Linked DNA regions of Nothobranchius furzeri. The protein of the gene in region 1 purifies or fractionates together with the protein of each later gene. This does not show direct contact. Links are inferred from orthologs where the notes say so. Each region holds a gene or a part of one and is shown on either strand. Other genes may lie near its edges.

Region 1 (6,959 bases):
CAGAGCTCTGGACCAACTGCAGCTTCTTGAGGCTTTTTGAGGTAGACCAACCAGATGTAGGTTACAGTAAACAATTTGCTCACTGCCAGGTACAACTGTGACTAAATAATGGGTGCTTTTCACTTCAAATGATGCAGAATAATTAAAAGTACAAATGAATCCATGTTTATGTTGTGGCAGGCTGCTTTGAGTGAAGCTTACCTGTCTCGGTCTCTCCGAGATCCTGCTCGAAGTCCTCCACTTCTCCTCTCCCTCTCCCGATCTCGGTTCCTCAGACGTTGCATTAGATCTAAAAGGTGACACCAAACATGTTATATGCTTTTTATTTTTGGCAACAGTGATTTTACACTAGCAAAAAGTCACGTGATTTTCATTGACAGAGGTGTGCAAATTAGCATAGAATAACAACATGCAGTAGTTTCTATGTATTGTCATACTTGAATTGTAATCGTGATGACACGTACTGCTGGCCTGCATGCCCTTGCTGACACTCTGGACACAGTCAAGGTTGGGCAGCTTATCGTTGGAGAGGAGGGCCAGCGCGATGGCTGTGTAGAAGCTGCGGGCCACGCCGCTGCCTTCTCCAGGCTCGTCTTTGAACGTGACCTTCACCCGGTGGACAGCCATGGGCGTGGTTGTGCACCGTCGGCCAAAGTGTGCGTTTAGCTGACGCATGGTCTGCTGTATTAACTGGTCTCGATCACGGTCCACCTCTAGAGCCAAGTCACGAGACTGAAGGTTCCTTAATTTCTCCATCTCCCGTCTGAACTTGGATTCCTTCACTTCAAATCCGCCCAACTCAGTGAGAATCTGGCGTTTTAGGGAGAAAAAAACACAATCTGAAGTCAAAGCTCTTGCTTCCAACTCATTCATAGGTTCCCATGGAATTGTTTCATTTATGGAGACGTGACATCCTTACTAAAACAGCAAAGGGAGCTCTGACGCTTCCATTACAGTCCGATTTGGTGTGTGTGTGTGTGTGAGAGAACTATTGTCAGACATGGTTCAAACCTTTTTTAATTTATTTCAGCTGGAAACTTCCCCTCCACTGAGCATATAGTTGCTGTATGGTTTGGTGTGAAGCCCTCACTTATCAAGGTTCTTGACCCGTATTTCACCCTACAAATGAAATCTAGAACGTTCGTACGAACAGTGAAAATCCTGATGGATGTAAGTGACCTCGTCCGCGATCGCCCAGGACACACCTGGGATTTACCTTCCTGTTTGTTTATGTGCACTGGCCCAGACCCAAATGCTAATGCCAACACCAACGTTCCCAGCGATGTTCATCCGATCCCGGGAAAATGTTGGAAAAGGGGTAAACATGCAGAAATCCAGGTGAGAAGGCTTCTTTTAAAGCATGGTTTCTCTAGTAAATGTCTGTGTGATCTTTTAACTTCTTGTCTTTTGTTTGGCGACCTGAGCGCCACTTCCACATCCTGCCAGGCCGCGATGTGGCGCCGTTTCTCCGTTCAGCGCCTCATGATTATTATCTTGAGAGGCGCTTTATAAAAGGTTGTTTTCTTTCAGATCTAAAGGCCAGAAGCTCACGTAGCTTTGTTGCCTCAGCTGATTCTATTCACTTTCATTTTTATCATTCATGTTTTCCTGTAGATTTCATGCAAAAGCATGCTGGTATGTGTTCGGTCTCACACCAATAAGATAAAAGCTATTTGGCTACGTGAATTAATGTGTGCAGAACTAATTTGAAGGTATGAAAAAGCTATGAGAGAAAACATTGTTTATCGTGGTCATCATGATGATCAAAAGGAGCTGTGAGGTACCTACGACGGCACACCCTTAGACAACGTTGCTTCTCCAGGACAACTACTTATTAATTAAAATGATCTGTAGATGAGGAACACCGTGGATGATCTTCAGTATTGTGGCTCCCCCGCTCCACCACTAGATGCTGTTCGTACAAAAATTCAGCGCTGTCCAAGACGGTAAACACCAAAGTGTAAAATCATTCCTACGTACCAATCTGTGCTAAAGGAAGGTTGATAAGCGAGGGCCCTGAAAACATTTCCAGCCAGTTCTAGTTGGAAACCCAAAGTGAGGTTCTGTGTTAAAATGCTAAACACATTCATCTTCTTTGTTAGCCTAGATAGTTACCGATCCGGGCTCTGCTCCCACATCCTCCATGAATACGCGACCGAACAGCTCAAGTGACAGACGCCAGCGGCCAAGCAGCATGTCATGCGAGATCATCATCCCCATGAAGCTGCAGTGAGGCCTGGACAAGCAGAGGACAAACGGCATTCTCATGTTTAAAAGTCATTTTGATTGATAACATTTGGGAAAAAAATGAGGTTCTGCTGAGAGGTCTTCTTCCAGTTTTAGAGAGAACCACCAGCGACCTCACCTGAATGACGGAAGAGGAGGACCGTCACTCTCAGTGAGACCAATCTCAGCGAGGAGACTGCTCTTCAGCTGGGCAGCGAGGTCATGAGGAGAAGGTCCTGGTTTAGAAGCCTCCATCTCCTGTTCACCCAATAACTGGTTGTCACTGCTCCGCTGGCCAGTTTCCATGCTCATGACATTTTTCAGGTTGGCTGTGTAGGACATCTTTGTGGGCAGGATCTGTCCACCAGGGATAGTGTTATTTATTAGCAAGAAGAAAACAGTCACACTGAAATAATGATGATGGGATTATGACTATCAGGTTCCAGTAAACACATTTAAAACAAACATCTAGGAGATAATCTTGTGTTGTTTTAAGCATTTGGTTTTAAATTGCTTCGCATAGAGCTCAGCTGTTTCTCTGACGGTGGGTGGTGTACCTGAGAGGAGGAGAGTAGAGAGGAGCCCATGTTTACCTCCAGGCAGTTCCTGTCCATGCTGGTCTCAGCCAGGCCTTTGGTCGTCATGTAGGAGGAGGAGTATAAGCCCTGAGAGGGACGCCCAAACAGGTCCTCCTTTCTGGCGTTAGGCTGTTAGACAGGAGGCAACATGGACTTTTTAATACATAAATGCAAAAACCCAAACAAACAAACATGTCCCGTGTAGCTGGTGAAGCATGTCACAGAACAGCCACATGTCAGACCTGCAGGAGATGGGGCTGGTCTGCCAGTGGAATGGCCTCCGCAAGAGGAACATCAAAGGGGTTGGGTGGGATGCAGCCCAGGAAGGTCATGGAGTCCGAGCGGCGGAAGAAGGGATGGTTCTGACCCGTTTCAGCTGGAACTGGGTCATCGTCTTTGTCTTGCAGCGTTGAACCTGTGTTGAAAGAAAAACTTTTCAAACAAAGTTTAAAATACCAGCGTCTGTGTACCGATGTAGTCAACCAAGCTGCTGTACTTTGGTTAGTGTCTTCATCGTTTTCGTGCTCAGAATCCTCGTTGTCCAGGCCCAGTTCCAATATTTCTCTATTCCTAGTGAAAAAATAAATAAATAATTCTACTTAAGCAATGAGCCGTTTAGTTAGCAACCAATACTTGTCTGGTGATGCAACTTTTAAACACACACCTCTTTCTCTCCATCTGAGGGGTGTCCAGGGTGGTTTGCTGGTTCATAGCCTTAATCCAGTAGATCAGAGCCTGGAACACGTAGGCTACGTGTTTTAGCGAGCACACATCCAGGACAGGAAGAACATCCGAGTGCTCATCGTTGTGGGAGCGCATCAGTGACAGCGCATAGTTCAGGAAGTCGCCCCGTGCTGACATCATGCCTTGACGGGCGGTCAGCAACGTTGCTGCTCTCCTGAAGGAAAGCAGATGATTGTGAACCAAACGACTGCATGGGTTGACTTCTGGTCTGTGTTTTCATTTGATCAAGTTGTAAACAAATAAACTGAGTCAGTCATTATGTTCCAATGAAGACGAAGAAAAACTATACCTGCGTCCTTCCAGAGTGCGGAGGCTGGCCTCCTCCCGAGCGGTCATGCGATCTCTGCGAGCTGAGTGCTGAGAGGCGTGAAGTGGGTGACTGGGGTGACCCGGGTCTCCAGCTGACGACAAAGCCGAGCCATATCGCAGCTGAGCCTCAGTAGAATCCATGATGGACACCATCCAATTCCAGGTGGGAATCAGCTTTTCTTCCACGTAGTTCTGGTAGACATGATAATCATTACACACTGGTCATAGTATGGACCCTTTTTTATCGTTCATAGGAACTGTCCTAACTTCCTCCCTACAAATGAAATTTAGAACGTTCAGACGAACGGTCAAAATCCTGATTTATTTAACATACGGTGGGCTCTCGTACGCACGTTCCTCCGCACTCATCTGATGATAAATCCTACCTGTGCTGCCCAGTTGCTCATGTCTGTTCTCGTCATTTACATACAGCAACACCTTTAAGTAACCATGTTTGGTCCACAGCTTGTGTATTTCCCGAAAAAAAAAAAAACTTTATTTACAGTGAGACTGAGACAACGGCTGCCAAAGTGCAAAAGAAACAAACAAGTTGCAGAGGTTAAACGCAGTTGAGACAGAGGAGAGGTTCCCGTCAGGAATAAATAAAAAGCTGAGTAACGGGTTGCATTTCCATTTAAGGAGGCATTCTGCATGGTTAGTTTTATTAGGAAATGCCCGAGAGTGCAGCCTCTTCTCAGCCATCATTCAGTCTGGTTACCTGGACGAGTGTACAATCGGGGAGCAGAGGAGCTCTGGAGGTTCTCGTAGTTGTAAAATGGAATATGGGATTTGTGCGGTTTATCTGTCGCTCGGGTCCCAGATAACTCCAGAATTTATTTATTTCATTGTAACCTGCAAGTTATTGCGGTTTACTTTTATTTGTTAAGAACAGAAACATAAAAAAATAATAAGTGTGTGCACATGCACGTGTCTGCACTCATGGGGTGGGGGACAAACATTTTTTTGACCACTGCATTAACTCATAAAGTCTGAGGTTAACATTATTAAAGAGGTTTTTTTTTAATGATTGTGATATTCTGACAGACCTATCCAACGATAATCACCTGCAGGCTAACAGCATCTTGGTAGGAGAGCTTTACAGCAGCAGGATACTGTGAGTAGACTAGATGGTTATACTTGGGAATCAGACTCATGAGGTCTGATATCTGCCTGATGACGATGCTGTAGGCACGAGCCAGGCTACTGGCAGACGTCAGGTAACTGCTGGAGTTACTGGCTTCCAGAGCTGCCGCAGCTGCTGCTGCACTGGAGCTGATGGCGTTGGAGCGGCGCAGGTTTGTAGGGTCGATGTAGATCAAACCGGTGGAGCTTGCTGTTTAAGAGGCAAAATAAAATGATTATAGACAACATTTGTAATTCAACGCCCTACAGACTGTAGACTTTTAAATGCAGACAGGTGCTGACTGACCAGCTGGAGCTGAAGAGCTAGAGGGAGCGCTTCCACTTGTCCTTTGGCTGGGTGTGTTTCTAACAGCCCACTGCATGGAGCGAGGAGCTTGGGCTGCAGTGTTAGCATGTGAGGCGCTAGTGGTACGTTCCAGAGGTTCATCTAAGAGAAACGTTTCTTGGTCAACATCATCACTCTGACTGCTACTGCTGTCCGAGTCACTGGAGTCGTTGGACTGGGAGTCGTCCTCTGAAAAGAAGGCAGGAACACTGCTGGCACCTTCAATACAGGAAGAGAAGAAACAAAACAATAAACACAAAAATGCTTTAATAGCTTTGTTAACCTTTAATTCCACTTTGGTTTTCTATTCAAACGTACAGAATCATTGATGCACGTTAGTGAATCACACAATAACTTATCGGAGCACTAAGAGAAAGCAGTAAGAAATCAAGTCAAATCAGCTCCATTCCCTGTTGAGACCAAAACACTAAATTTAAAAGGTGCATTATGTAAGAATAAAGTTAAAATGGGTACTGTGCCCCATTTTAAGGAACTTGCTCTCCCTCTGCACGTCCATCTGGCTCCCCCTTTAACACGTTTTAAATCTGCCGTTCACTTCTTTTATGTCATCTTGATTGTGTTAAATCTTAGCCCACTAGTAATGATAAATGGTCTGTATTTGATATAGCACCTTCTAGAGTCCTGGAACCCCCCCAAGGCACTTTACAACACAATCAGTCATTCACCCATTCACACACACATTCACACGCTGGTGGGGATGAGCTACAGTGTAGCCACAGCTGCCCTGGGGCGCACTGACAGAGGCGAGGCTGCCGAGCACTGGCGCCACCGGTCACTCCGACCACCACCAGCAGCAGGCAACGTGGGTTAAGTGTCTTGCCCAAGGACACAACGACAGCGAGAGACTGAGCGGGGCTCAAACCTGCAACCTTCCGATTACAAAGCGAACACTTAACTCATGTGCCACTGTTGCCCCAGTGTACATGGTTTAAGTTGCTTTTATGTATTTTACATGTATTTTACCTTATTGACCCGGATAAGACAAGGTTTGTTTCATTGACAATTTTAAATGTGGGGTCATCTTATAATTGGGGTCTAACCATTACACGCCCGTAACAGCAGAGGGGCGCCAGGCTGCATGTTATCAACAGGAGAAAAAATGAAGACGAGAGGTCCGAAACAGAGTGGAGCAAGTTAACAAGCTATAAGGCAGAGGTATGCAAATTTTAAGATGACGGTGGTCAACTCAGCAGAGGCGTCAAACATTGCATGCATGGATGGATTGGATGGCAGTGAAGACGACGTTCTGGGAGGAGTCGGCAGGTGTGGCCATCTGATGGTACATCCCACAGCAGCATGAGTGAGAACAGCGAGGCAGAGGGAGTCTGAATAAAAGCTTCATTTGACTTTTGATGTCAGCAAAGTTCTGATAGTTTGTATTAAAATTGTATTTTTGCTCAGTATTTCTTCTCGAATTTTCAATAAAAATAATTTCTTTAAAAAGTTTTTTGTTGTCTTTTTCTGAAGATTAGTTTTGGAAAGGGGGGTCGTCCTATACTCGGGTCAATACGGTATTTTGGGACTGCTCATTTCAATGAGTTTTACCTTTTTATTGATTGCCACATGTTTTTAGACTTTTTCATCCATCTAACCTTTATAAAGCATGTTAAAAA
Region 2 (6,959 bases), on another chromosome or scaffold:
TTCAATACTCGCTTATCCATACAGGACCGTAGACAGCTGGTGCCTATCTCCAGGAGTCTTTTCTTCTTTTTAGCAGAATGCAACTATTATTTAAATATTAAAAGATAAAAAAACAGTACTTCATAGCTTTTTATTGACATCTGTAGTGTAGCTTCAAGAAACAATCAAGGCAACCATTTATTCTACACGTGTAGGCAACAGAAACTCAGTTCTGCTAAACAAATGTTGTGCATGCACTCCCAGAAAGGGAGAAGAAAACGTTGCAATATAGACCAAAAGCCTTCACAAAATAGATTTTGAAGACATTTGCCATCCTACGACATCTGCAGGAAGCAGCAATATCATTTCTAAATCTTCTGAAATGAAGAACAAAGCGTGAAGATCAAAAAAAAAATTGTGTCAAAATATTTTCACAGGGAAATAGAAGTCAGAATAAGAAAACAACATGTTCCAAAGAAATGGAATGAAAGATATTCATCCTAATAATAATAATACACTGCACAGCAATCATTCAATGACAAGACATACATATTTCCATAGAAAATATGAAAAAATACTCAGAATATTACTGATGATCATGCGACAATGTTGAAAACACTATGGATTAAACATGCAACATAAAGACCCCACAGCTTCTGACAGTCCTACTATGTTTGATCACTTTCTGAAATTATTTATGGAAGCAGTGACCTATTTAAACCAGAGCTGATATTAACACCTGGAACAAGGCACCAATACAACCAAACAAGCTAAAAACAAGGCTCTATGTTTCCTCGTAGAACGTAGCTGATTAAGTGGTGCAGGTGAGGTAACGGTTTCACCAAAAATGCTGAGTTTAGCCGCTCAGAGAGGAGAAAAGCCAAGTTAAAACACTGTGTGACAACGTTAGGAGAGAAAATGGGATGCTCCACATGACTGGTTTGAACAGTAACACAACTCATCCCAACTAACTCGCTGTTGCTACACAATGACATCATCAGATCCATTCAGAACAGGTTGCTGCTATTGTACACACTTACACGCAGCTAATAAATAAGTTAGACAGTCGAGCCCGCTTACGGACTTGGTTTCATGTAGAAACAAAAACCAACCCAGAAAACATTTTTCATATGAGACATCACAATCACCTAAATGAAAGCTGTGCAAAAACCAACAAAGACATCAAAGATTTTACTTGTGCAACATTTTAGTTTTTCTAAATTTTTACAACCGTATCTCAACTCTTGAAAGGCTTTGAAAACCAAAAACGACTTTCACTGGTCATATAAGCTTTGATGGTTGCAGTTCAGCGTCTTTAAACGGACACAGCGACGCTGAAGAGGCAGCCGATCAGATGCTTGTGTTGTGCCATTGACCTAAAAAGGCCTCCGTGCCCATTTTACATGTAAACAAACTTTACAATACTGCATATTGTACAGCTGAGATGTAATAAATTCAGAAAGGTTTTCTGCCTAGACACACTTGGACGGACCAAGCAGCACAAACTACCCACAGTGGTCCTATGCTCAAATATACACATGGCATTTCTGACAAGATACATATAACGTGACTTTGTGTGCAAATAAATATGTAAACTGTCACAGGAGCTAATGAACCATGCCCATGGAGCTCATAAAGTGCAGCAAAGCTGTCAGGATCAACACCTGGAAAAGCTGTGGACACGGACGTCCCACTGGAATGGTCAACCCTACTTCAGGAAGAGTTTCAGCTGTCGGGTTTGTCGGGGTGATGAAAGAGAGCACAAAGCTCCTCACAGGTCTGAGTCTCCACAGAGCTAAAGTGTGACTCCATATTCCACGCCAGGTCTGCTGACAGGAAGTCGTTCATAACGGTCTGGGTTTCATTGCTGGTCAGAAAGAGTTGCCCCAGGCCTTCTGCTTGGCTGGTCACAGTCTGGGTTTCTGTGCTGTTCAACAACCTCACTGCCTCACCTTGACCTCCATTAGAAAGTGAGGATGGAGCTGTAGTAAAGGAAGGGAGATCCGTCTGTGTTTCGGTATCTGACGACTCGGTGCTGATTGAAAAGGTTGAATGTCGAAGGATACTGCTTAGGGGCATGTTGCTGCCAGCATTCAGCAGGAAATTGAGATCGGTCTGAGTCTGGGTGTCAAACAGCTCAAGGTCACTGGCTTGGGGTCGACTTTGTCCCTCATTTTGGTCCAGCTCATCCATAAGGAGGAAATCTGTCTGCGTCTGAATGTCCAGCGACTCCAGCGGAGTGTCACCACCTAGCACACCAAGTTCACTCTCCTCCGTTTGTGTCTGAATGTGAACGGTGTTGAGGAACTCCTCAAAGTCAAAGTCAATTCCATTGTGCTGCTCCTGAACAGAGCCAGGACCGGACCCACAACCAGCAGAAACCTCCGCGAGAACCTGGTGACCCGACATGCCGCCAGCCAGAATGTTCTCAAGGTCATTTAACAGCGTTATCGTTTGGGTCTGGTTATCGGCCATGTTGTTAGCACCCAGCTCATGTGTCTGCACCCCAAAACACATACCCGCCACCGACTTTGAGTCTTCATACAGATTTCTTCCTGCAGCACTAGGGCTGTTAATAATGTCCTGGGCTGTTTGTGTTGAAGTGCTTAGAGACTCATTAACAAATAGATCTGAACACATAACAGCCTGGTCAGGAGCCTTATCCTCCAACTGTGGCAGAGCAACGATTGTCTGCGTCTGTCTGGTTTGAAACGGGAGCACAGATGAGGAGAGGGACGTGATTTGGCTCAGGCCCTGGCTCTCTGTCTGAGCTCCAACAGATGATGTGGATTTGGCTCGGGAAAAGAATGTCTGGGTCTCCACACTGACTGGCAGGAGGACTTGGGCACTCACACTGATGTCTGTTTGGGAGCAGGATGAAACTGAGGCCTCGCCCATGGAACACAACCCTGCTCCCTCCCCAACTCCCATCCCGATGGGCAGCTTTGACAAATAGGATTTATCAGTCTGGATGTTGGTAGAGGTGCTCCTTCCTCGCTGCCCCGTCACACTGCTGGCTGAGTCATCTAAACCAACAGGGTCCAGATTGACCTGCACCCCTGTGCTGATGCCATCCAGGGTAGAACGGGAAGTTGACTTGCTGTTCTCGAAAACCAAGCCTTTCCCATCCAGCTGGGGAACCAGTGCTCCCATTGTCTGTGGAAGGAGCTGGAATGTACTGAAAGAGCCATGGTTGTCTACTGCAAGAACCACCGACCTCAGAGTCCCACTTTCTGTAGATGGAAGAAGAACAGGCAGATGGGCCAGCTGCATGACAGGAACACTGACCAAGGCAATTTTGGGTTTTGGTAGGAGCAACTTCTGAAGGCTCCTATGGGGGCTGGAAATCTGGTTAGCTGGATCTAGGATGTTTGCAGCCAAATCAAGAGGTGGAGAAGTTTCTGTCAACTCCTTAGTAGAAGGCATGATCTGCACAGCTGAGTCATTAACTCGGACTTTTTCAGAACCACCTGTATGCTTTTCCATCTTTCGCTTTTTGACTGGAGGAAGTCTGAAAGAAAAAGACCAACAAGTTAATTCTACAGATCATAATAAAGAAAATGCAAGATTTCAATGAAGCATTTGGTCTACGTGCCTGTATTCTTTTGGGATTTCGTGACCTGTTCTGTAGTTATGTGACAGCAGTGCAGCTCTGCTTGCATAGGGGCAGCCACAAGTACACTGGTAAGTCTTCCCACAGTCCTCTATGTGCCTCTTCAGGTCCCACTCTGTGCTGTAGCCATTGCTGCATTTAGAGCACTTGTGCTTTTTCTCTGCATGCATCTTCATGTAGTGCTACAACGATGCAAAGTAAAAGGCCATGGAAATAAAACCCAACAGGTACAGAGAAGAGCAAAAACGATAACGGTGATATGATGGAAAACCTTGGGTCAGAATGTTAATGCAGGGCCCTCCCACCTACGCACTGTCGCTGAGAAAATGCTCCCTCTTGGTAACAGCGCTGCCTGATGGCATCAACCCTTCCTGGTTACTCTAAAAGGTGTAAAACCCACCTAGTTCTGAAAGAACCAACCTGCAACCCAGAGGACCTGCTGCAAGCATCGTCTCCTCAATCAGAAATGCTTTAGCAGCATGAGGACAAGCTACCGCTATCCATGTGTTTAATTAGCTCTAATCTGCAATTTAGAAGTCAAACCTTTAACATAAAATACATAACTGAAAAGTAAAGTAACTAGACACTTTTTTGCAATCCAAACACATCAAAGGAAGCTAATGTGTGTGAGGAGTTAAAAGTCTTGTAAGAAGTAAAAACAGATGCGTGAATCATTGCTTACTTGTTTAACCAGAGAGAACTGGGAGAAAGGTCTGTTGAGCCCCCTTGGACAGCCCTCAATAGGACAGCAGTAAAGTTTCTGAGTGCCCTTCATTTCCTTTCTGACTGTGGGATTGACCATCCCATCCTGATGGTATCCATGGCAGCATGAATAAAAAAAGACAAGAAGACATGTTAAATGTTAAGATACTGAAGCCAGTATCTCACAGGGCTGTCAATGATCGGGATTAGCTGAGACATAAAACTGCGAGAAGAAACTCAAATTATCCCTTAAACTCAAACCAAATTCATGCTTATGGAGTTTTTGCAGCAAGTTTTACACATGCCAGAGTCGTGTGGCAGACCCTAACCCTCATTAAATAATGAGTACAAAAAAAGACAAAAGTAAATCTAAATTAGTCACAATATTTCTTTATTGAATCTCACAATTTGTTTGAATAAAGAGCCTAATTTTTCTTGCATTTTGGTTACCAACCCTTCCTCCAGCTGTCTCACATTCATTAACATTAGCTGCCCTGTGAACTAGTATGAATATAGTCTCTTACAACACAAACATATTTATTACAGTAACAGCTGGAAGGTCCTTATAATGTGTCATTCATTAAATACACATCCCATTGTATTTTTATTAGGGGTGAGAATTCAACGCTTTAATTTTGATTATTTAATTAGAAAAACATAACGCATTAAGAAATATTAATGCATTTAATTACAGCTTGAATTTCAAGCAAGGTGGAACCTTTGTCGGTGCATGATTTTCTGGTATACCGATTACACTGACGCACAAAACAAAGCCCTGCTCGACCAATGGCTCCTAAAATAGAAGAATCTGAAAAAAGCATTCTGCTTGGGCTGATGCAGTGTTTGAGGAAGCAAATCAGCCTCTTCTCTTAATTAGTAAAAATAAAAATAAAATACTTCATGAAAACCACAGTCTGTGACACGGACACTTTAATAAAATAAAATAAAATAAAATAAAATAGGACTGGGACAATAACAAATTTTGCTAAATGGTTTACTGTCCAACAAGTTGACGATTAACGATATTGTGGACATTATACCATAATTAGACCAAAATAACCACTTATGTAATGTTAATATATCATAATAATGCAACAAACCTTTATTTAATATTGCAATGTTCAGAACCAGAACTACTAAATAAAATAATAATAATAATTAAAAAAAGACGGTCACTATTTGTTAGAAACTATTGCACCAAAAACAATAAAATAGACCCCATGTCTCCAAAATTAATTAATTAATTAACGCCCATCCAGAAATTAAAACCTGGCGCAGCACCTGTGTTAGTAAAGTAATGTCTTTGGATGGCTACTTTTTACTTTCATGTAATTATAAATATGTTGAAGTAGTACTACGTTTACTCAAGTGATATATTTTTGGCAGTAATGAAACGTCTGAGCTCCGTTTGTTTCCTTTGAGGTCGTAGAGATGTACGTTATTGATTGTAGACAATTTCTGAAAATACAGATCTCTAGCCTCCTGCACAATTTTATTCCTGTAAGGGATGCTTCCTTGTTCTTTTAATCCATCCTTTTGACTCTTGTTCTGCTTCAACTTCAGCTGCGACTTTCCCCAACAACGCGAGTCATACACCTAAAGTTGCGCTAAGGGGGTGTGGTTGACATGCAGGCCACGTGTCTGACAAAGACCGATATGTCAATGTTGGAAATATTATTGAGCTCATTTTCATCTATCGTACGATTAATTGATTGTCGTCAGCCCTAAACACAAGTCAACAGGACTTATTTTAGGAAACCACAGCTCCCCTGAATGCATTGCACGACAACAGAGTGAACATACATGATCATGTAAACACCCGTAGGAGTGTAACAGACGCTGTCTGTTTTGTGGCCACTAGGTGCCCTCAGCGTTCCTACCTGCTCTCCTGGCTCTAGCTTTGCCAGGTGACTTTGATTTCAATCAGTGAGGCTCCCCGTTAAAAGGGTGCGTCTGATGATAGGGGGGGGGCTTCAGAAGAGAACAAGCAGCAGTGTTTGCTCTCCTCTTTCCCTCCTCGAACTGACGTTAAAGTCTTGCTTTGCTTACCTGAGTGGTATCGGTAAATACTTCCTAGTTTCTAGAGCTCGTTTGTGTTTCTTCAGCATCCTCGTTAAAGAGAGATCTGGCTCACCGTTTTGGTGGAGCTTTTTGTGTTAATCCTGCTCATTCCTTACCCGGTTTTTAATCCCCGGCGCTTTGTGTTTAATATTATTGTAGTTAATTCCCCAGTTTTGGGTGTCTCCTGTTTTGTATCATTTTACCTGCATAAAGCAGTGACTTTTAGTTAAATAATCTCCTTTAAGAGAGTAAATCCTGGTTTGTTCCTGTTTACAACCGCATTTCTTTACGCTCCCTAACCACATCATCTCTTAGACGAGCTGAGGGACGTAAAAAAAGGAGTGTGTGAAAAGGTTAGTAACCATCTATAAAACATATGTTGATGTAGATCGCCTCATCTATGCCATCATGCATTTGCAGGCTGAGTACTTCATGACAGGTCATTATTTGTCATCAACAAGTAGCTGAGAGGGGAAGCTTAGATTCATTGTCCTTGTTAGAGAAGAGCCCCTCCACAGCTGCTGACAGCACTGCTTCTCTCTGAGAAATGGTCTGATGCAGCGATAAGTGAATGAGTGATGGGTCTCTATACCCCGCAGCTTCT
Region 3 (7,418 bases), on another chromosome or scaffold:
TTTCATGGGTAGCTGACGTCACGCCCCCTCCTCTTCATCATCCGTGATGAAAAAGGAAAGTGGCTCTCGTGGGATTACGGGATCACTAAACAGGCATTGTTTGCGTGTGTGCACGCGCGCGTGTACAAACTGGTCATTTGACCTAATTAAAAATGTTTTTAATCCCAACAACAAACAGACAATATAGGATTTGGAAAACGGCGCGGGACACGTCTCGTTGTGGATTAAACAAGTGTTCTTGTATTTATTTTAAACCGTTTTTTGTAATTATTCAAATCTAAATGTTTTATTTTTGTTTTAAATACTTTCAGACTCGCTGTAATAAAACAAATAATAATTCAAAATTTTTGGTGACATTTTTTCACTTTTTGTTCCCTTCAGCGTTGGAAAAGAAATAAAAGAGCACCTTTGTTATGAAACACGGAGCGCGCCCCCTCCCACACACACACACATACACACACGGTTGCCATAGATAACATCTGGAAGTTTTTTTTAACGATGGAACTAAAGAAGAACAAAACTGGCGCGCGCTCACCACCTGTTGCAGGCCAGATATCCTCGAGCTGCGGCCGCCAGACGCCGCGGGAAGCGGAAGATGAAAGGATGGAGAGAAACACCTGATCAGCGCTAGAAGTGAAGCTATACACTCATTTATAGGATGTTAACAGCACTTAAATATTTCAGTTCTAACGCGATTTTATTCTAATTAAATTATTTATTGACTGGTGAAATTTCAAACACGTGACTCACTAAATTATCTGGATGTTTTTCATTCAAAATGTGATCTCAACCACTTGTATATTCCCCTAGTTTTTAAGATTAAATCAAGTCAAAAAGGCCATATATATATATATATATATATATATATATATATATATATATATATATATATATATATATATACCATGCAATTGAATCGTTTCTAATTGAAATGAATGCTATTTAAGACTGAACCTTGTGGTTGAAGCTCTCTCCTAGGCGTGACCAACAGGTCTCACAAGCTCCAGACAACAGAAGTTGATCAAACATTCTCTCCTGTCAAATAATAATATATAAAAAGTGTTTTCCTTACATCAAAGCTGCTCCGCTCAGCCGGGATAAATATGAATTTATCGGGGCCTCCGGGCCTGCAGGGGCCCGGCGCTTATTGAATAAGAAGGGAGGGGGTTTAACGCGTCCAGTCCGACCTTTTTAGAAACAAATTGTTTATCACCGGCCTGCTCGGCTATTACAAGCGAATCCGCTGTTCGGATCAATAATTAATGAGGAAACCGACGATCCGCCTGACCTCCAGAGAGAGAGAGAGAGAGAGAGAGAGAGAGAGAGAGAGAGAGAGAGAGAGAGAGAGAGAGAGAGAGAGAGAGAGAGAAAGAAAGAGAGAGAGAGAGAGAGAGAGAGAGAGAGAGAGAGAGAGAGAGAGAGAGAGAAGGAGAAGTGGATGGATAAATACAGAGTGGCCTCTTCAAATATTCATCTGCCGCTCCCTCGGGACCGAGCCTGCAAGACACAACGGTCCTAATCTACCCCACAACACACACGCGCGCGCGCGCACACACACACACACACACACACACACACACACACACAGACACTCTTAACGATTTAGAACCGTTAGTTAAATTCAGGGCGAGCTGTTAGCTCATCAAAGGGATTATTATTAAGAGTGGAGGGGAATCGGCCTGCTGGCGGAAAGACGCATGGGAAGATTTTTGTTTTCTGGAGGGTTCCTGTTTTTATTAGAGGTTGGTGTCGTGTGCAGACGGTGACAGTTAGCGGAGAGGCGGTGTGAACCGTTTGAGTGAACATTAAATTAAAACTAAATCTCCTTAGAGACATTAAAACGCGACTTCCTGTCTGGAAGCCGCTTGGAAAACTGGGATTTATAGGAGCAAAACACAAACAAGCAGTGAAACAACACGGAAATACTGGGAAAATTATTTAAAAATGAAAATCCTGCTCAGTTGTGTCACTAAATAAAAATAGTGCCCCAGTCCAAAAAAGGCCCCCCACATACCAATTATTAGCATTTTTAAACGTATTAAGATGAAATGTTTGCCTCAACGTTTTCCTCTTTTTATATCAAAGAAGAGAAATGACAGTCTGTACCTGGGAATGTTGGGAATTTTTGCTGGAAAAACCTCTCCAGGCAACAAACTTTGTCTTTGAGGACCAGCGGGAACTGGAAGAAAGAAACGTGGTTAACCTCGACGCACAGGCTGGGAATAAAGGAGGAGCGTCCCCCCAGAAAGCTGCTGTTGTTCTCAAAAGGCAGAAATCACCCGAAAGATGCCAAATAAAAAGACGGGATGAAAAAAAAACACTCAACACACGAATTATTCAACGTGACAGAAACTGAATCAAAACTCAAACTATTTCAAGTATCCAAATTTCCAAAATTTATTCATTTCAAACCGCATATTGAAAAAAAATATACTCAGCTGAAACTGTAACTGTTATAAGGATGGTATTAGTCTGGGGGTATTTACATGGAGTGCGTGGCTTCTGCGTACAGGCCACGAGTTTCAAAATACAACTACGGGAATGAGCTTTGAAATAAAAACTTCAAATGTCACAGTAAATATACAGAAATTGTACAAATCAATAAAAAAAATAAAGAGCACAAGCGTCATGTCCGCTAAATGATGAAAAGTGGGAGACGGAAATATAAATTAACTAGCTAAAAATTTAAGTTGCATGACAGAAAAAATTGTCTCACGTTTGTTTCTCAAAGAAATAAAAGAAAAGTTTAGTAACGTTGACCTTAAATGGAGAAAAAACTGAAAAGAATAACAGTTTTACCTGCTTCTTATGTCCCTTTTCATTCCAGTGTTTGCAGTAATTCTAACTGATAAAAATTCCAATTCTGCAGTTTTTATTCATTCATCTTTTCTGCAGAACTGGCGCCGCTTTATATAAAAAACGAAAAGAAAGATGCAACCTCTTGCAGTTTAGCAATTCCCTCTGATTGTAATGTTTCTTTGATAAATACTGTACAAAAGGTGATTGCAATAATAAAACATCTGATTGCGACTCCCACTTTCTAGATTTCCAAACTCCATCCACCATTTTAGAGGGGGGGGGGGGGTCTCCTATCGTTCCTCTAGAGCATCTTCAGAATAAAATAAAAAATAAAATTAATTTTAAAAGAAACAGTGGAGTCCTTTTTTCCTGGAAACTTCTATACAACTTTTCCCACCCCAAATTTTTCTGTACAAAAATAGTCCAGCGTCTATAGTCCGCAGTTTCTCTTATAAAAGTTCTTTTGCTCTGTCTCACTCTCTCTCTCTCTGTCTGTCTGTCTCTCTCTCACATGTGTGTTAACGGCAGCGTGCCGTTGATCGTCGTCCCGGGCACGGCGCTCTGGTAGTGGCCGGACATGTGTAGCCTGGTCTGGGCGCTCTGGTCACTGACCTCGGCCCCGGGCAGGTACATGCTGATCATGTCCCTCAGGTCCCCGCTTTGGCAGCCAGGAGCGGCCCGGTGGGACGAGGAGGTGACAACGGGCGGACTGGAGCTGCTGGACTCGGACTTGACCACCGAGGAGGGCCCCATGGAGCCCAGGGTGGTCATCCCCGGCGTGGTTTGCTGGGAGTAGGACATGGAGTAGGTGGGGGAGCCGTTCATGTAGGTCTGGGAGCTGGTCATGGAGTTGTACTGCAGGGCGCTCATGTCGTAGCGGTGCATGGACTGCATCTGGCTCGGGTTGTGCGCGTTCAGACCCGGGTGCTGGTAGCTCAGCTGGTCCTGCATCATGCCGTAGCCACCGTTGGTCCAGCCGTTCATGTGCGCTGCGTAACTGTCCATGCGCTGGTTCACTCCACCGCCCAGTCCGGCCCCCACCCCGACACCGACTCCAGTGCCCATCCCGTTTCCTCCAGGAGCCAGCAGCCCGCCGGGCAAGGTGTACTTGTCCTTCTTCATGAGGGTCTTGGTTTTCCGCCGGGGCCGGTATTTGTAATCCGGATGCTCCTTCATGTGCAGGGCCCTCAGCCTCTTGGCTTCATCGATGAAAGGTCTTTTCTCGCTCTCCGACAGGAGCTTCCACTCTGCTCCCAGCCGCTTGCTGATTTCGGAGTTGTGCATTTTGGGGTTTTCTTGCGCCATCTTCCTCCTCTGGCCCCGGGACCACACCATGAACGCGTTCATGGGTCTCTTGACCCGCTCCGGACTGTTTTTCTGGTTGGTGCCGTTCCCCGTGGTGTTGGTGTTTCCCGTGCCCCCCGTGTTGGTCTGGGGAGCTGGGGGCTTCAGTTCAGTCTCCATCATGTTATACATCAGGAACAGCTTTGAGTCGGTGCTTCCAAGCCGACGAATGGAGGACGAAAAAAAAAGAGGAAGAAAGAAAAAGAAACAGAAACTCCAGGAGCCGGAGGCAGCGAGGAGCGCAGCGGCTGAAAGTTACCTGTCGGGTTGCTCTGCAACTTTTCTCTGGACAAAAACAAGCATCAAGCCGCGTCTCCACACACTCTCCCTTCTCTCTTCCGTCCCCCGAGTGTGCGTGTGTGTGTGTGTGTGAGAGAGTGTGTGTGGACAGAGAGCCTTCTCCCAATAGGTCCCTGCTATGTCGTGTCCACAAAACTTCTCTCGCTTCCTCCAAAAAGCATCAACAAACTGTACTTTTGCGCCTCTGCCCGCCTGAGCCTTGACAACTCCTGATAGTTTTTGAACAAGTTAATAGACAACCATGTCATGGCTGTCATCGAATAAATGGCTTCGACCTGGCCAATCAGAGCAGGCCTTCCCCACTGACACACCAATGGGAGGCCCTAATTAGCATAAAGAGGCGGGGCCTGTCTGCTCCGGAGCTTACGGGCATACTCTCACTCTCAGGCTGCCCTATGAGCCAAACACAGAGTACACATGTACTATGAGCATTATTGTTTCTCATTGCTGTCCGTATAGAAGCTCATTTGCGAGTGTTTTTATTTATGAAGAGTAAAACTGTGACGCCGAACTTGATAGGACGTTTATAAATAAATAAAAAGTTTTTTTTCTTGAACAGGTAGCACGTGCAAATGATGAAAGAATTCCTCAAAATTAATAAAACGACCCAAAAAAAATGACAATTATCTTATATTCAGCTGTGGCTGAGTTAGAAAGTTTTAATCCAGACATAATAATCTAATGTTTAGGTGGTGAAATGAAGGCAAATAGGCGGAAATATCTTTTAATAAGAAATACAATAATCAACTGGTGACGTTATTCAAACCGGAAACTGTTTTTTTTTCTGACTGAAGGCATGACCTTGTGTCAGTGTTAGAGAATAATCAAAAAAGTTACTAACACCCCCCCCCCTCCACACACACACACACACACACACACACAATCGGGCCCAACAGCACAACAAGACTTAAGTAAACGTTGTTAGTTAACTCAAAAGCCCTGTGTGTGTGTGTGTGGGGGGGGGGGGGGGGGGCTGGTTTTGGGTGTTGAAAGGAGGAAAGGTAATCCAAGATGTCTGCCTCCCCACCTAAAGCTTTTGTTTTGGGAAGTTGAATGCCAACACACACAAGGCAGACGGGCTCATCTCATCAGCACAAATAAGCGCGTTTTGTTTGGGATGTTGTCGCTACATCTGTCCGGACAAAGCCCCAACTCCACTCCACTGATGCTGCTGCTGCTGCTGGGGGCTTGCAGGCGGCTTAGACCCGTTGTCTAAAAGGGAGGGCTAATAAAAGGACATGAGTGTTTCTAGATTCATGTGAAAACACAACCAAGCGCGTGAGGGAGTCAGAAAAGCAGCGGCCTCTACCTGCTTCAGTTCTGATCAAACTCAGATTAATGCGACATGAGATTCTCCACAAAGGCAACACACTCTCAGAAAGCTCAACAGTCCAACACGAGCAAACTTCTGGAGTCTGCAGCGCTTGGTGCCACTTGTTTCTATTCTGACTGTCCACCTCGCGGCTTTGGCGCAGTGCTGCGTGACACCAGTGCCGCCTACTGGACTAACGCAGAACTACACGCAAACTCTGAAAAAAGTTTTCTCAGACAACAAAATCACCGCTGTTAGAAGTTAAAGTAGATAAAAAAAACTAAACCAAAATACAAAAATATTTATTTCACATCATTTTTATTCCAAACACCAAACATACGTCCGGATCTGCGAGTGCAGCAGACCAGTAAAGACAGACCAACACACCTGCAATTATTTCATTTAAATGCGCAGATTAAAGCATCTTTGAAATAGATGAAGTTGTATTATTTAGTTTTAGTCATTTTGATAATAAATGGAGGCGCGGAGCCCGGCCGGGCCTCTGCAGCCTTATGAGGTTCATCTGGTGCTTAATAGGCTGCAAGAAGCGACACATGCAGCTCGGTCCATTATGATGCAAGGTTGAAATGGGCCGCTCGGCTGCTATCTGCATCTGAGTGTGTTCCCCGCTACCTCTAATCTGCTTATGATAATAAAGGAACAGCGGGGGCCCCGCAGCTCTGTGAAAGCGGGCCCCAGCCAGCCGGGAGTGGCCCCGCATCCACTATCATCCCGCATTAAACCCGCTGTTGGACAAAAAAATAAAGAAGCCGGGGAAACTAGAGGGGCGGTTCCCTCCGACCACTTGTAAGACCCCCCACCACAGCAGGTTGGGATGGATCCTGCAAATGCAACGAGCTGCATGCTGGGAAACCAAAATACCGTGTTGTGGTTGCACAAATTTAGATGATGGGATCTCCGCAAAACATGCGAGCAAAAACACCCGCAATGCGCGGGAACTAAAAAATAAATAAATAAAACCTGTCTCCTGTCTCCAAACAAGTTTATTTTTCACCTGTTGCAGATGAAACTTTATTCAGTCTGAACTTAAACGGAACTAATCCTGTTAAAGGGAAGAAAACGAGGGAATTTTAAGGCCTCCTACATAAACACATTTCTGACAAATAAAGGTCATAAAGGGGAGTTTCAGCCGCCAGGGGCCGTGCCACGGACTCAACACACGGAGGAAAATATGAAAACACACCAACCGCGTCTGATGATGTGGGAAAGAACTTAACAGAGATTAAAGAAAAAAAAAACGCATTCAAGATTTCCCTTTTCCTAATAAATGCGCGAAATTGACATTGATTAATTTTAATTATAAGAAATTTATCAGCGAGGCGCAATTAAGCACATAATGCAAATTCCTTTAAATTACAGAGGAAAATAATAAAAAGCGAAAAATGCCTAACTTATTAAAATAAATGTAATTAGAATAAAATAACGGTGCGAAAGTAGAATCAGATTTCTAATCCTAATGATAATATAATTAATGTTATGCATATATTTGAATTTGTAGCCTATATATATATTTTTTATATATTGAACAAACAAAATAAAATTTCTGTCGCAGTTTGAGCAGATAAAAGTCAGATGTTTGTAAATGAAACACAGCTCTGTCAAGTTCGTACAGCATGGCGTCATTCCACAACACTGCATGTTT
Region 4 (7,611 bases), on another chromosome or scaffold:
TGTTCTGAACTATGTTAGAGAAGCGGAAGAGAAAGAGAGAGAGTTAAAACTTTGAACGAACGAACAGCGAGGCGTCCCTCAGTGTTCAATCGGCATTCTCCATTGCTTCCAGTAGCTCGGTGTTCCATCCACTTCAGCAGCTAGGTCTCGTGCACATGCTGTCCAGAGCCGCAGCAAACGAGTGCGTCTTCATGCCAGTTGAACTGGAACAAAAGACAGATAAGTTTCGTTCTGTCTCCCTTTTATAGACTCGGCTGTCCGGCGGGAGGAAGCTGTGGGTTCCGGGGTTCGGCTCCGCTTTGGTGACGTCATCACGCTGCTTCCGGGTGCAAAGGCTCATGGGACATGAAGTTGTTGCTGGCGCTGATTTTTAATATCTGCTTTTTCAGAGCGCAGATGACACAGTCTTTTGGAGAAATTACTGCATAGTAATTTCCTCATGAGGGCAGACCCTCAACATTAGGAAATAAGACTCCAAATCCTGCTGTCTGCTACCACTTTCTGCAGCAGCAGATTTGTCTGTGCTGATCCAAGCCATTCTGGGATTTTTTTGCCCCATTTGCAAGGCATTCATACCAGAGACCACTGCAAATGTATTGATTAAACAAGTTTCCCACGCCTTTAAAATGGCTACGTTTTGAATGAATGTAAAGGAATTCTTGTGGTTCTTTTGCAAGAATAACGATTTAAAGTGAAATTATTTCCCTTTGGTTTAGAATCAAATCAATTTCATTACATTTTCTTTATGTTTCATTTAACTTTTTCAAATTTGTAACCAGTGTTTCAATGTCCTTTATCCACGTACTGCAAGCCATGCATAGAATCAAATTGTCTTTTATATGTTCAGGACATACAGGTGAATCAATACAGTGTTTTTCTCTCATCTTTGTGGTACAGGAAAAACAACATTTAAAAGTAAAAGTATATAAAGATAAGATTATATAGAAATATGAGAAAAGTAAATGTATTGATTTTCATTGACAGTATAAAAGTTTTATTGGAAAGAAAATAGCATGCTGGAAAATAGTGCTGAAGAACAGAGCTGTTGCAGTATGTCAATATTTGTATTTAAGTTGCACCCAGTGACCTTGGGTGTTCTGAAAGGCGCTTTTAAATAAAATGTATTATTATTATTATTATTAAACACGTCTGTTTATAATTTCCCTGAGCTGGAGAAAAAAAGGTAAAAAAAAAAAAGAAATAGATAGTTAATAAGACAATCTGATTATTTTACAATTTACTTAATAGTGAATAAATGAAACTTTAATCCTTTAAGGTCCCAATGAGTATAAAATGAAAAGCTGGAGGAAATTATCACACCATATTTAGTTACATTGGATCTTTAATCCCAACACGGATTAGAATACAAATATCATACACTATTTCTCTTTTCAACAGATCATTTTTCCTGTCCTTGGTCCCTGGCAAACATTACAAACAAATGCATAGTGCTAGCATCATTTGAATATTTAAAACAGTCCCTACAGTCTTTTTAGGTCATTCATTATTATAAAGTGAAAACTAAAAGTTTGCATTCTCCACATAACTTTTAGATTTCACCATCACTTTTGAAGACAGACATTTTGATTAATTTTATTCTATATTTACATATCTTTGGCTGAAATATGTATTCTAAATGTGGCAAGCATGTTGTTCTGATTTAGGAAAAAACATCCTTTGTCCTGGTTTTGCTAACGCTTTACTTTATGTAGGTGAAAAATTAAAGAGCTCACAGCACCCTTGAGATTCCAGTGAGCCAAAACTGTGGAAGAAAAGAAGATGAAACATGGAGGGAGGTAACCTACTCTACTTTCTTTGTGCCCCTCTGCAGAGGACGTTCAGCTCTCTGCAAAATCCTGTGTAATAAACTAAATGTGTGTAAATGTTGACCCATACAAGCACAGACAAGCTTACTTCATTTAGTTTTCCCTACAGCATCTTCTGTGTGTTGCCATGGAAACACATGGCAGCAGAAGAGAAGGATGAATGTGCAAAAATGGAACAGACACATATAAGCCAGCAATCTCCACACATCACCCACCAGTCGGACTAAAGCCTGAAGACCATTTATAAACAAACACACAAAGTGAAAAAACAAAAAACTGTAAAACACACATATTTTAAAGAGTGTGTGCATAGTAAATAGTCCCTATATTAAACATCCCCCCTTATAACAAAGTCAAATCAGCCACTAGCTGTGCACTCTTACTTTTTGTTTTAATAACTATGGGAGGCTTCAACAGAAAATGATTCCCTGGAAAAAGTGTTGTGGACTGAAATTTTTATTTTAAGATGATGTTACCTATTTAATGATTAGACATTTATAAAGTTAATTCTAGACCATCATGACAATAATCTATTTATGATCTCATTATTTACAGCTGTGAATCCGTGCTGTGTCATATGAAGTGCTTATTGTGTGATTGGTCTGAAAAAAGTGCTTTCTCAAGGAACAATAATTGTGAATTTGTCCACTGCTGCCACCCAGTGGAATATGTGTGAAAGTGAATTAAACTATCAATAATGTAATTTTTTGCAACATCATGATTTTCTCAATTTACCTTTTAACTGTAGAAATACACAATTTAATAGTTCTGTGCCGATATCGTTTTTGCAAACATGCTTTTATTACTCAAAACGTTTGTGCATTTCGTCTTATTTTATTTCAATTTTCGTTTTTATTTTGACCACACTGTCGTTTCACTGTTTTATCCAGTTTAATAATATGATTACATGTTAAAATTAAATCCTTCTTGGATTCTGGATGACGATAAAATCAAGTAAAATCTAACACTAGTCTACATTTACCATCAGCCTTTGCGTTAAGGAAACGCAAGACGTCATTGAGCCAATCACGATGTTAGAACTTTATTTCAACCCCGTTGATTGGCTAGTTTTGCATTTTTCTTCCCACAATGCTTTGCGTAGAATTCAAATCAAGTGGACCAATGAGAAAGCGCCGTGGCGACAGAGCGAGCATTTAACTTAATACTAGAAACTGTTTTCGAAGGGCAGAACAGAACACAGGAGACGCCGCCGTCGGACACGTCTGCTGAATTATTCCATGAGGAAAGCAGATTTATTTTAATATTTATGTCTATATATGTCGTTTTATAATTGTAGAACCTAATGTTAATTATCGCTTGCTTTCAGGAAGTCTAAACTCGTGATTAGATTTAAATTCAGACGTGTATGGGAGAAAGTTAGCTAGCTAGGCTAAAGTAACGTCGGTTGTGTTAGGGTTAGTAGTTTGATTCTTGTAGTTTTCACCACGTTTACTGCGCGGAGAGAAAATAAACATTCCTGTAAGTTCATAGAAGACAGCTCTAATACAAAATGAGTGCTGGTACCGCAAAGCCGTTGGAACGTGCGGATCCCAAATCGGCACCTCTCAAAGAAATCCCAGAAATTCTCGTTGATTCCCGAACCATGAAAAGATACACGAGGGGGAGATTCCTCGGGAAGGGTGGTTTCGCCAAATGCTACGAGATCACAGATGTAGAGACGAAGACGGTGTTTGCTGGCAAGATCGTAGCTAAGTATTTGTTACAAAAGCAGCACCAAAGGGATAAGATGACCTCGGAAATCGCCATACACAAGAGTCTGGATCACGCTAACATCGTCGGCTTCCACGGGTTTTTCGAAGACGATGACCATGTGTTTGTGGTCCTGGAGATCTGCAGGAGAAGGGTGAGTACGATGGAAGGAAACCAGCTTTTCAGTGAGGTTTAGAGCCGACGGTTAAACACTGCGACATCTTCCGTTGTCCTCATGTTTAAATAGTGGGAAGCAAGCAGTACCAGACTCATTTAACACCTCACAACTATTTGATCTTTGATAAAAACATCTTAAAAAGAAACTTCTAGCCTATAAATGTGGGTTTATTGGTCCAGTACCACTCTGGTGGCCCCATGTGTACCATATGTTCAATCTTATAATTAAACGCATAAAAGATCACTCTTTTCTTGAGCTGTTGTCTTGACTGTTTAAAATGCTTTATTTCAGTCCTTGCTGGAGCTGCACAAACGCCGCAAGGCTGTGACGGAGCCTGAAGCTCGCTACTACATGGCCCAGCTGCTGAAGGGTGTCCAGTACCTGCACAACAACAAGGTCATCCACAGAGACCTGAAACTGGGCAATATCTTCCTCAACGACGACATGGATGTCAAAATTGGTACTCCACTTGCTTGGACTTGTAGCTTGCACTAGATCTTTTGTTTTTATCACGTCGAGAAGGATTTGAATCAAAGCATGCCTCGTTATTACGTGTTCTCTCTTGTTTAGGGGACTTTGGCTTGGCGACTAAGATCGAGTTTGAAGGCGAACGAAAGAAGACTTTGTGTGGAACGCCCAACTACATAGCACCAGAAGTGCTTTGTAAAAAGGGCCACAGCTATGAGGTCGATGTCTGGTCACTTGGGTGCATATTGTAAGTACAGGCCCACAAACGCAACTCATTTGAAATGTCCCAGCTGTGAAAGCTTCCCTTTTCTGTTCTTTCAGGTACACTCTGTTGGTGGGCAAGCCCCCGTTTGAGACCTCCTGTTTGAAGGACACCTACAGTCGCATCAAGAAGAACAACTACACCATCCCCTGGGTATGAAAATCAAACTGAATGCACCGTTTTCTTTCTAAAATTAAGTTAATAATTGAGTCGTATGATCTGAACAACCTGCAGCACATCACCCCGACTGCGGCGACTCTGATCAAGAAGATGCTGCACGCCGATCCTGCACAGAGGCCAAGCGTTGCTGAAGTGCAGGCCGATGAGTTCTTTACGTCCGGCTACATCCCCCTCCGTCTGCCCACCACGTGTCTTACTGTACCCCCTCGGTTCTCCATCGCCCCCTCCACAACTGCAGAGCTCAGCCAGCGGCGTCCTCTGACTGCTCTAAACAAGGGTAATGGCGATCAAAATGAAAATCTTTGTTTTTATTTTTCCTAGGCAATGATGTTTGAGTTGATCCACATAGATTTTATTAGTCTTGTTTTAGATGTTAACGTTTTTTTTTTCTTTGTTCCCAGTTGGTACGGAGAAAACGGAGGTGAAAGACGAGCCTATGCAAAGGTGTTTTTCATTTATTTATCACATGACAAACATTTTATAAAAATTCTAGTTCTGTTAGTTTTTATCTTTTCTTTGCGTAGATGTTGTTAACCTTTAAATGTGTGTGTGTGCAGGGCGGCTGAACCATCAGAGCCCTACCTGAAAGACATGCTGCAGCAGCTGAACAGCATCATGTCCACCAAACCCTCTGAAAGGGCCGTCATCCAGCAAGGTTAGTGGACGTGTCTCACTTCGTCTTTACCGATCTTGTGGAGTCTCTGTTGCTATTTCTCTGAATTTTGTCAAAACGGATGCGGTTATCTACTTTTTAATCTACATCTAAGGTTTTTTTGTGTAATTCCAGAGGAGGCCGAGGATCCTGCGTGCATCCCCATCTTCTGGATCAGCAAATGGGTCGACTACTCTGATAAATATGGATTAGGTAAATGTTAGGAGACCGTTTGTTTGTTCACATAAGCTGCAATTTTAACTTTGTAAGTTTGGTTTAGACTATTAAAAGTATATACAGGGTATCTGCAGGTCCATAAAAAGTCTTAAATTAGCTTTTCCAAATTTAAGGCCTTAAAAATCCTTAAAAATGACAAATAGTCCTTAAATAGTTTCCAACGGTCTTAAATTACCAAAGACCCAATAAACAAGATTCTTTTATTTCTATAAAATTTTCATGAATTTCTAGTTAGTTTGGCATTTTTTGTGTATGATATTGGCGTAAGCGGAACCGTACACATTCGGTTGGTTGTGAAAGGGGGCTATTTTTAGATGAGCATGCTAGTGGGAGTTTGCACCATGGGGAAGTGCAACATTAATGGTAAATGGATGGCTAATCCCACGTTCACGACCTGGTTAGCACCGGTTCCAGGCAATAGCTGGAAATTATAGCTTAAATTTAATTTAAAAAAAAAAGAAGCTTAAATTTGGTCAAAGTGGCCTTAAAAAAGGTCTTAAAAAGTCTTAAATCTGGCTCCCTTAAACCTGCAGATACCCTGTATAGATGTTATCTGGTACTGTTAAAAGTATCTTTACAGAGTTTTTAATGTCTGTTCCAGGCTACCAGCTCTGCGACAACAGCGTGGGGGTTCTGTTCAACGATTACACCCGGCTCATCATGTACGCTGACGGAGACAGCCTCCAGTACATCGATAAGACTGCAGCTGAGTCCTACCTCAGCGTTCGCTCTTTCCCCGCTACTCTCAACAAAAAGGTCAGACAGTGTTTTTATTTATTTTTTAATTCCATTTTATCCCCTTCAAGGCCATCACAGTGACTTGTATTTCTCTCTGGCTGTAGATTACGCTGCTGAAATACTTCCGTAACTATATGAGCGAGCACCTCCTGAAAGCTGGGGCCAACATGGCGCGGCGGGAGGGAGATGAGCTGGCACGGCTGCCTTACCTCTCCTTGTGGTTTAGGACGAAAAGCGCCATCGTACTGCACCTCAGCAACGGCACAGTTCAGATCAACTTCTTCCAGGTTAGATGGTTAACCCTTTCACTCAACGCGTGATGCTTCACGTGCGCGATCCCTCATCTTCTATCATTATGTGCTTTTCAGGATCACACCAAGCTGATCTTGTGTCCGCTCATGTCGGCGGTGACCTACATCGACGAGAAGCGAGACTTCCGCACTTACAAGCTGTCTCTTCTGGAGGAGTTCGGCTGCAGTAAGGAGCTGGCTAGCCGCATACGTTACGCCAAGCAGATGGTGGAGAAGCTGCAGGACAGCAAGGCTTCTTCTCCTGCACAATAGTCTAGTTTGTTCCTCAAACCTTCAATCACTTTCCCTTCTAGTCGCAGAACTTTTAATATTACGTGTATTTTTTAAAGCGAAGCAGAGGTTTTCATGTCACACTTACACAATGTGCTCCATCAACCTAAACTTTAATATGCCAACATGTTTTCCTCTTATGTTCACCTTTCATGGACTGCTTAATTATCAACACCAAGACTAATAACGTAGCTTGAAAAGAGCTGTTGAAATGCATCATTTAAGAAGTTGAGGCGTTTGGTTGTAAACCTTTCCTTTTTCCTGTTGTTGTTCTTGTGTTTTAAATCATTCAGGAAGATGTTCGTCTTGTGAGAGATGGACTCTCAACATGCTGTTCATAAAGCACTGGTCTGCTTTTCCAGTCTGTGTGTGCGGAAACTGACCGTGTTAATGTTTTCATCATGTACATTCTTCCTGTTTGTTTGTGTTTGTAACTGTTGGCTAAGCGGGTTGATGGTGAACAAACTTGTACATACTGCTGAGTATTTTAAAGAGGGTAAACCTCTGCTCAAGATGAAATAAAGATTGTTTTTCCAAGTAAAAATAAAAAATTGTTAATTCTCTCAAATCTTTGCATTTTGTTTATTCAAGTCAACAAAGTGCAAAATACTGAGCTAATTTCAGCTCCATTGGAAGCCTAAAGTCATGTCCACGGGTCTCTTACAGTAAAAAAAACACAATCTGGGCCATTATGTTATCTTCTGGTCTTGTTTATGTGCCATAGCTTTAACTTGATCATGTCTGAATTGTGAAGACAGTTTACGGCACAGGTTATTCAG

Evidence for each region.
Region 2: the proteins of ubr5 (region 1) and atmin purify together in Homo sapiens (affinity purification with western blotting; 3 studies listed by BioGRID). This does not show direct contact. The link is inferred for Nothobranchius furzeri from reciprocal best matches to the Homo sapiens genes UBR5 and ATMIN.
Region 3: the proteins of ubr5 (region 1) and sox2 purify together in Homo sapiens (affinity purification with western blotting; 3 studies listed by BioGRID and IntAct, with this or other methods). This does not show direct contact. The link is inferred for Nothobranchius furzeri from reciprocal best matches to the Homo sapiens genes UBR5 and SOX2.
Region 4: the proteins of ubr5 (region 1) and plk1 purify together in Homo sapiens (affinity purification with mass spectrometry; 4 studies listed by BioGRID and IntAct, with this or other methods). This does not show direct contact. The link is inferred for Nothobranchius furzeri from reciprocal best matches to the Homo sapiens genes UBR5 and PLK1.

The regions. Positions count from the first base shown.
Region 1 is NC_091745.1:50,573,049-50,580,007, forward strand, and holds part of ubr5 (E3 ubiquitin-protein ligase UBR5), read right to left. Parts: intron 5,545-6,959; coding exon 5,287-5,544; intron 5,191-5,286; coding exon 4,922-5,190; intron 4,050-4,921; coding exon 3,838-4,049; intron 3,703-3,837; coding exon 3,469-3,702; intron 3,375-3,468; coding exon 3,301-3,374; intron 3,220-3,300; coding exon 3,047-3,219; intron 2,934-3,046; coding exon 2,784-2,933; intron 2,584-2,783; coding exon 2,366-2,583; intron 2,237-2,365; coding exon 2,116-2,236; intron 811-2,115; coding exon 438-810; intron 290-437; coding exon 202-289; intron 1-201. UniProt on the Homo sapiens protein: E3 ubiquitin-protein ligase involved in different protein quality control pathways in the cytoplasm and nucleus. Mainly acts as a ubiquitin chain elongator that extends pre-ubiquitinated substrates.
Region 2 is NC_091749.1:56,994,761-57,001,719, reverse strand, and holds the end of atmin (ATM interactor), read right to left. Parts: intron 4,401-6,959; coding exon 4,275-4,400; intron 3,775-4,274; coding exon 3,575-3,774; intron 3,491-3,574; coding exon 1,705-3,490; 3' UTR 1,161-1,704; downstream 1-1,160. UniProt on the Homo sapiens protein: Transcription factor. Plays a crucial role in cell survival and RAD51 foci formation in response to methylating DNA damage. Involved in regulating the activity of ATM in the absence of DNA damage. May play a role in stabilizing ATM.
Region 3 is NC_091748.1:72,768,950-72,776,367, forward strand, and holds sox2 (transcription factor Sox-2), read right to left. Parts: upstream 4,764-7,418; 5' UTR 4,276-4,763; coding exon 3,307-4,275; 3' UTR 2,384-3,306; downstream 1-2,383. UniProt on the Homo sapiens protein: Transcription factor that forms a trimeric complex with OCT4 on DNA and controls the expression of a number of genes involved in embryonic development such as YES1, FGF4, UTF1 and ZFP206. Binds to the proximal enhancer region of NANOG.
Region 4 is NC_091744.1:8,884,767-8,892,377, forward strand, and holds plk1 (serine/threonine-protein kinase PLK1), read left to right. Parts: upstream 1-3,156; 5' UTR 3,157-3,336; coding exon 3,337-3,690; intron 3,691-4,005; coding exon 4,006-4,174; intron 4,175-4,284; coding exon 4,285-4,429; intron 4,430-4,503; coding exon 4,504-4,597; intron 4,598-4,678; coding exon 4,679-4,901; intron 4,902-5,025; coding exon 5,026-5,068; intron 5,069-5,181; coding exon 5,182-5,279; intron 5,280-5,411; coding exon 5,412-5,489; intron 5,490-6,114; coding exon 6,115-6,269; intron 6,270-6,355; coding exon 6,356-6,538; intron 6,539-6,619; coding exon 6,620-6,814; 3' UTR 6,815-7,400; downstream 7,401-7,611. UniProt on the Homo sapiens protein: Serine/threonine-protein kinase that performs several important functions throughout M phase of the cell cycle, including the regulation of centrosome maturation and spindle assembly, the removal of cohesins from chromosome arms, the inactivation of anaphase-promoting complex/cyclosome (APC/C) inhibitors, and the regulation of mitotic exit and cytokinesis.